Kluyveromyces lactis: one gene and its partner. The protein of the gene in region 2 interacts with the protein of the main gene of each other region in a biochemical or structural test. Links are inferred from orthologs where the notes say so. Each region holds a gene or a part of one and is shown on either strand. Other genes may lie near its edges. The genes, in order: CDC7 and MCM6.

What was found.
Region 1: of the proteins of MCM6 (region 2) and CDC7, one has a biochemical effect on the other in vitro, tested with the Saccharomyces cerevisiae proteins (7 studies listed by BioGRID). The link is inferred for Kluyveromyces lactis from reciprocal best matches to the Saccharomyces cerevisiae genes MCM6 and CDC7.

The regions. Positions count from the first base shown.
Region 1 is NC_006039.1:396,454-399,900, reverse strand, and holds CDC7 (serine/threonine protein kinase CDC7), read right to left. Parts: upstream 2,003-3,447; coding exon 575-2,002; downstream 1-574. Other genes in the region: trans-2-enoyl-CoA reductase (NADPH) TSC13, read left to right, coding at 1-270; ERP3 (Erp3p), read left to right, coding at 2,203-2,922; DAL1 (allantoinase), read right to left, coding at 3,009-3,447. UniProt on the Saccharomyces cerevisiae protein: Serine/threonine-protein kinase. Needed for the initiation of DNA synthesis during mitosis as well as for synaptonemal complex formation and commitment to recombination during meiosis. Required for HTA1-HTB1 locus transcription repression.
Region 2 is NC_006042.1:935,574-940,180, forward strand, and holds MCM6 (MCM DNA helicase complex subunit MCM6), read right to left. Parts: upstream 3,057-4,607; coding exon 45-3,056; downstream 1-44. Other genes in the region: KLLA0_F10109g (C2H2-type zinc finger protein), read right to left, coding at 3,622-4,607. UniProt on the Saccharomyces cerevisiae protein: Acts as a component of the MCM2-7 complex (MCM complex) which is the putative replicative helicase essential for 'once per cell cycle' DNA replication initiation and elongation in eukaryotic cells.

The DNA of each region.
Region 1 (3,447 bases), on a different chromosome or scaffold from region 2:
CATGTCGCATTGCGTAGATGGGGTGATGAACAAAAGAGAAACGGTGTCACGAAGAGAGTCCCATTGAATTCTGGGTTGTTCAAACTACTTGTCGCTCCAAATTACACTTTTGAATCTTGGGCTTGGATGTTTTTCACTTTGTTGTTCAAGTTGAACTTATTCTCAGTTCTTTTCCTTGTTGTCTCGGTGGTTCAGATGTACTTGTGGGCTCAAAAGAAAAACAAGAAATATGGTACCAAGAGAGCATTCTTGATCCCATTCTTGTTCTGAATTCACCAATTACTATCACCACATACATATTTGACTTGGGGTATTATAGCATTCTCTCTTAAGTGAATAACGCTGTTTTACTCGTTTATTTACGCACTTGTTCTCTAACTTATGCCGTCAAAGCGTTGGCAACGTTTGTAAACTAAATATAATAATGATGATGAATGCAAAGTATTAAATTACTCTATCGGTTAAAGAACTCTATATATGAATGCATGTATATAAAAAATGAGTTCTGCTCTAAGTTATTGCGGTGAATATATGCTAATTTTCGTCAAATATTTTTGTTTCGTTCTGGATTTCATTACTCAACGACCCCGGTGAAGTGATCTTCTCTTCTTTGATCTCTATCAAGTAAATCTTCGTTCAGTTCTTTGAACCATAAATGTTCAAGAAGATCACTGGCGCTGGGTCTTTTGTATGAATTGAGTTCGAAACATTTTGCCAAGAGATCAAAACACCAAAAATGATCGTCCCAAACTGCTTGTTTGTAGCTCCGTATTTTATCATCAATATCCTCTTCATCGTCTGGGCCTAAACTTGGCGTGAGTTGTTTGTCAAATTGTGTCAAATAATCCAACGTCTCGAACGCTATGGAATACTCTGGTAATGTTCCTTCCTCCACTTCTTTGTCAAGTAAAGCTCTCACAAAACCTTGTAGCCCCCCAGGATATCCTTCCGAATGGAAACCTGGAACCTTTGTCATGTCTAGTCCCAACCCATGGAACTTGGCGACTTCTTGCATGGGCTTGATTCCAAAAATGCAACATATCTCCAGAAAGGCGTCAATATCATCCATGCTTTGAAAGATTGGGAACCTTCTGCTGATGAAACTTAACAGTATCACACCAACTGACCAAATGTCAATTTTTTGAGTTTGGAAAGAACATTTCATAAGCACTTCTGGCGCTCTGAACCCTCTCGTACCAGCTCTATTAGCTCTACGCTGCCTCCTAGTTTCATGTTTTGGGTACCCCTTACTCAATTCTGCCTTCATGAGATTCTCACTTTGTGCAGCACTTAATTCATTTGCCCCTCTAACGTTAAGCTGCCCGTTCTGAATGGATATCAACGGCAGATGTGATGTCTTTTTGTTGTTAGCATACGGTGAAGAACAATTACAAACCTTCTCTCCCTGGTCATTAACATACACACGATAGTTGAGGTCAGGCAAGTACAACTCTTCATTCTCTTCAGCCAAACCAAAGTCTACTAACACACCTCTCCCAAGTATTGGGTTGTATAGGAAATTGGTTGGCTTCACGTCTCTGTGAATGATTCCAAATGAGTGCACGTATTTCAAGGCGCTTAAAAGTTCAAACATGTACTTCTTTATCCCCTTGATAGGCATGTCTCGGTAGAAATGCCGGAATTCTTCATGCGGATACCAGGGCAAGACGACAACCACCTGATCCTGGTATCGAATCGCGTCGCATAATGGTGCTACGTTATTCGAATTTGACAGTAACTCTAAGAGTTTAAGTTCATTTTCAATTCTGTTCGGCGAGCTTGTCACGTATATCCTCTTGATAGCCACATGTTTACTATTCTTATCCCAGAAATGATCAGGGTATAACCTTCCAGATACGTTGCTAAGATCTTGAGCTTTATATACCGATGAAAAGGTCCCCTCTCCGATCTTATCCAGTAGCTTGTATCTGGATGACAACTGTGGTACCTTATCGTACAAATCATCCATTTCCTGGATGATTTCAGCGGGAATGTCATCCATAATTATAGTGTGTATATTGCCACCTAATATGAAGCCTAACAGACGAGCTGTATACCCATTGGTTTGACTCTACAAGAACAGATACGCTATATCCGTTGATTCTTTTATTCTATGCATTTTTTGGCGATGTTTTCATTTTTATTGTCGAAACCAAATATAATAACAAACAGCAGTAGTTCACATTGAAATGACATATATTAATGAACAGAAACAGGACGTTAAAAGGGGAATTGTCGAATAAAAGGACATTTACACACAAAGCAACCTTCATGTATAACTTATTAAATATGAAGTTTACATGGTTATGGGTATTTTCGCTTGTGATTGTCTGTCAAAGCTCACCAATAACGGTACAATTACAGAAGAATGGGAAAGAATGTGTTTACATTGATGTTGATGACAGTGACTGCAAAATATCTTATTACTTCGCAGTACAAGAGGGAGAAAACAATGCCTTCAGAGTAAGCTATGAATTATGGTCTCCGGACGATACAGAGTATCCTATGATTTACAAAGATGACGAAGAGCAAGGGCAATGGACATTTCCTGCGAAACATACTGGTGAATATGCGTTATGTGTCATTGGTGATGAATATCCTAAGATTGTTGATTTAGACATTGTACAGATATGTTTCGATCAGATACCGAAGCCAGCAGATCCTCGTTTGATAGGAGAGACGATAGATAGTTCACTGGTGAGGACACTGCAAGATTCTGTAAATATAATAGAGGATCAGCTTCAAGTCTTGGAAAGAAATTTGAAGCTGTACAAATCACGTGCAGAAAGAAACCACCACACTGTTAAATCAATAGCATCGAGGTTGGTCACCATATCAATTTGCTCCATAGTTCTTGTACCGACGATTGCTGTTCTAGAAATTATAATAATGAAGTATATTCTAGGTAAATTTAAATCATAAGTGATATATATATAATATGTATATCATGCATCAAATAAAGGTAATTCAAAATTGAAGAAAAAAAAATGATTAGAAGATGGGGTACTTCATGTTCTTCTGCGTTCAAGAATTGTCTGGCCGGGAGGGTTTTTATTATGTCCCATGCCGTCAAGTTCAAAAGCCAATTTTCCTCTAACATAGGTGTTTCTCACTAAACCTTTCAGTTTGAACCCATCATAGGCTGTCAGTTTGTTTTTGAAATAAACTTTATCGTTGTCGACAGTCTGATAGGTATTGATGTCGAAGATAACAAAATCTGCGTCGTATCCAGTTCTTAGGAAACCCTTCCTGTGATCAAGACCAACTTGCTTACTGGTGTTCTCGCAACACCATTGAATGATTTCAGCGATGGAAGCACCGTTAGTGTATAGTAATGGTAGTCCCAACCCGACGGATGCAATTCCTCCCCATGCACTAAAAAAATCACCTTTTGCGAGGTCTTTTAGCTCCGGTATACATGGAGAATGGTCACTTACTACAGAAGTG
Region 2 (4,607 bases):
GTGCAAATGGTCAATTTAGTTGAATTAGTCTAGTTAGTAAGTTTTCATTGAGGTGGGTTAGGGGTGATTTCATCTAGAACACTACAGTTCGGATGTATCACATACACTGTCTTGGCATTTGAGGATTCGACATCGGCAGATAGATCGTCGTTTTGACCATGTATTTGCATCAAGACCCTGTCCTTTACCAATCTTTTGATGACTTTGAATGCCAATTTCCTTTCTTGCCAATATTCTGCTTCGGTGTTGATGTCGTTTTCTTTCTGTTGTAAATACCAATCTACTATCTCAGTTTTTGTCATTTCAGGTTCTTCATTCTTTTCTCTGTCAACCACTTTCCGTACAATTAGATTCATCATTTCCACGTATTTATCATATGATATTGCGACTTTATGTGTTGTGTGATGAGCGTTGTCATGAGACTCTACGTCAGGACCACCCCCCGTTTCGGAGTCGGCGTTCAGTGGTTGAGAAGGTGACTGAGATTGTGTATCAAGTGTTTCGCCGAAGTGTTGTGTGGCAGGTATTGTGCCCTCACCCTCCGTACTTTCTTCTGGGGAGTTATCGTCATCTTCAATTTCAACGTCATCAACATCAACACGGATGATACTCTGTCTCAACAAATCGTACGCCTCAGCGACAAAGCTCGGAACAATTTCATCCACGCAATTAGCACGAGCAATAGCTTCACTTAATCTGATTAATGATTCCAGTTGTCTGACAGTTATACGGTACGAAGATTTACTGTACCCCTGCGCATCGTCTTTCCTTAGTTCTGTATATCTTTTGACTAGGTAGTCACGAGCTTCTTTAGTCATTACCGGCTTGAAAGTCTTGGCATAGTTGATATAACGACTCAATTGTTCTGCTGAGAATGGTGGATTAATAGCAGAGTCCCTCTTCATGTGCAAGTCTACGATGTGGGAAGCTAGCTCAGTATCGATCTTCTCATTGCAATCATCAAGAATGACAAAGAATAAATCGAATCTGGACATAATTGGTGCAGACATGTTCAAATTAGATCTTAAAGTCAGTTTCCTATTGTACCTACCGCCGACGGGATTAGCGGCAGCCAAAATTGAAGTTCTGGCATTTAATGTTGCATGAATACCAGCTTTGGCAATCGAAATGGTTTGCTGTTCCATGGCTTCATGAATAGCAACTTGATCTGCGATATCCATCTTGTCAAATTCGTCGATACAACAAACACCATTATCTGCCAACATTAACGCACCAGCTTCAATAGTGAAATCACCACCTTCTTCATCTTTCACCACAGCTGCAGTCAAACCAGCCGCTGAAGATGCTTTACCGGAAGTATAAACGGCTCTTGGAGAGAAGTTACAGACGTATTTTAGGAATTGAGATTTTGAGGTGGACGGATCACCAACGATACAAATATTAATGTCACCTCTCAATTTAATGCCTTCTACAGTAGTTTTATGAACACCGCTAAGCATTTGTAAAAGGATACCTTTCTTAATGGTTTCATGCCCGAAAACTGCTGGTGCAATCGATTTCACCAGTTTGTCATAAATATTCTCATCTTTCACCATCTCTTTTAATTCATTAATTTCGTCAGAATCAAGCCTTGTTAGGAAAATTTCTTGATCAGTTTCTGCCGCCATTTCATAGTTTTGATAGTTTCTCAAGTTAATATAATCAAATTTGGATGTCTTATCGGCGTCCTCCTCATTAATCCTACTACCATTGAAACTGGTACCAACATTTTCAACATGGCATGCCAAAAACGATATTTTGTAAGTTAAATCTCTAACACCTAATGATTTGAGCCCAGAAATACCTGAGTTCAATCCTTCCGTTGTCCGTGAGATACCTCTAGAATCTGGAGTCGAACTTGCTTTAACACCAGGCAAACCAAGTTGACTAACGTCTGGAACGACAATTTCAGTACCAATAAATTTACATCTATCACCTGGTTTAGCTCTTTCGACACAGTCACCACGAAGAATAATATCTAAGGTTCTTGGCATAGAACCGGATGGAATTTCATTGGAATTTTCTTGAATTCTTACCTTTTGCCAATCCAAGAATTTGGACCTGTTCACGTTTAATGACCAGAAAGATTGGTTCTCACATGTTGGATTTGGACAAGAGGTTGGTTCAGTGTACTTGAAAACTTGTTCCACATTGTCAATAACAGCTCGACACAATTCGCATGTAAAACTGGCTTTGTATAATTCTGGTCTAATTTCCGAAGTTCTCGTGACTGTGCCTGAAATAGCCATTAAAGAACCAATCTTATTAGCCCTAATATCTCTGATTCTATGGACAGTTGGGAGATTCAGGAAACTGATTTGCAAAACACGTTCAACCTGATCTGGATTAGTGGCAATGGTAGATGGGGCAGTGCCTCCTGCGGTGGCAGCCTGCGAAGTTGGCAAAGATGAATCTATTCTTTGCGAAGAGCGGTCCTGAGAATTCTCTTGAGATTGAGAAGGAAGTACAGAGTCAGATGTTAATAATAATCCAGGAGCGTACTTCTTCACCACATTTCTTAGCCCAGATAAAAGGAATGGCAAAAATCTGTAATACTGTTGTAAAATAGCAACCGCTAAAGCTCCGTCTTCCACCTCGGCCAAATGTTTATAGTCAACGTATATGGTATTCAATTCGTACCATCTCATATATTCAATTTGGACTCTATAAACCTTCTCCATCTCACCTGTTTCATCATTGAGGGCGGTGAAATTTGACAAGAAATGTTCGAATGCCTCTCTTACAGTTTCACCAGTTTTATCATCAACCTTTTTGATGGCATTCAAGTTTTTCTGCCTGATCCCGGCTAATGGAGTAATTTCTTGTGAATCATTTTCCATAGCCTCTATTTGTGATTCTGAATTAATGCCTTGCCTAGTGTCATCAGTACCGAAATGTCTATTTCCATCTGACACTCCTCTGGAAGAAGATGGAAACTGGGGAGTTCTGTTTCCTAACGACTGATCATCGAATTGTGAACTATCATAAGCACCTACACTAGAGGGAGGCTGGGATGATTGCTGACCATGTTGAAAAGGACTTGATGGTGCCGACATTGTTGCTGATTTTTTCAGCTTGCTCCAACTATGTCCGGTTTTGGATGAGCCGTTCAACCTGGATGCCCTTCACATTGAAGATCATGTTTTAAGTGTTTCAACATGTAAAATCATTTTTTTAATTTCTGAGTTAAGGCGATTCAATATTACTTTTCCTAAAGAGGTATTGCAAGTATCCAAAATTAGTTAACTGAGGTATAACACGAGGAAAACCATTGACTATCGACCATAACATATCGATAACCAATGCAGCAAAGTTCAATTTAATGGAATTTTTTCTTTTTGATTCGATAGGGAGAAGATAAAACATCGGTGAATTGATAATAAAAATTAATGATACGTAGGTAAGAATTCATCTTATTTAAGCGATATAAGTATATGGACGCGAGGATTTTAGAAAGCTGGCCAGGGATAAAATAGCCCCCCTGACAGTCAGTTGCATTAATGGTGAAGTGAAAATGAATCTAAAATCGAAAGAAAAGAAAAAAATGTAACCAGATAAAATAAACCGAAAATGTTAATGTGGACATAGGTCCACTGAAAAGCCGAATGGAAAAAGATTCAATCATTCTTGGTAATTGTAAGTATAATTGAAAAAGTTCATGAATTGCTGAGTTTCTCTGAAGTGCCTCTCACCCAGAGCGTACTCATTCATTTGTCTTTGTAAAGTAGTATTAATCTTAGGTTCATTCGAGTTATTCGTGAATTTCACTTCTTCTTCCATAGACATGCCTGCTTGCTCGATGTCGAGGGGGAGTACTTCCCAATCAGGATTTATTTGTGACTTTTGATCGGTAGATATGAAGTTCATTTCTTTATGGAGAACAGTATGTTCATGGGAGGATTGGGATGAGATAGACCGTACGGTGTCCAAAGCTGCATCTTCAACTGGTGATTTGTTCAATGAGGAGAATTCATCGAATGGTTGTGTACATTTGCGTAAATGAGTAGCTGTATTTTGAGATCCCGAATGAGGTATTAGTTGTGGTTGTCCTGTGAAGGGGACAGAGTTCGAGGGAGCGAGAGATGGGACACCGTTGCCATACACTTGGTTTTCGAAATGACCGTAATTCTGATTGTCGTTATGTTCATTGATATTTCCATTGATATTTCCATTGTAGTTTAGTGGTATTGAAGCCAGAGCAAAAGTGTTATCCAAAGCCAGGTCAGATATGGTTTGTTTGATGGGCGGGGAGGCAGAAGCCGGTTTAGAATACTCACTCGATAACTTCTTCCTATTTTCTGGCATGAAGTTGCTGATAGGCACCTTGGCTTCGCTGATAGTTGCTTGGTTGGAAATGAAACGTGACTGTCCATCAGAGGTCATGATCATTTTCAACTTCCCACACTTTTTACTCTTCTTCAGGTTACCCTTGAAAGTTGGCAAAATAGCTTCACATTCACGATTTTCAATATGATGTTCAATCCATTCATTTGTCGAATCAAAGTGTTTTTTACAACGGCCGCAATGTCCATGAGAGTTCACACGGTCCACATTCTTAACATTATCAGGATAAATGAAATGCCTTGATCTCAAATGGGTCTTATAAG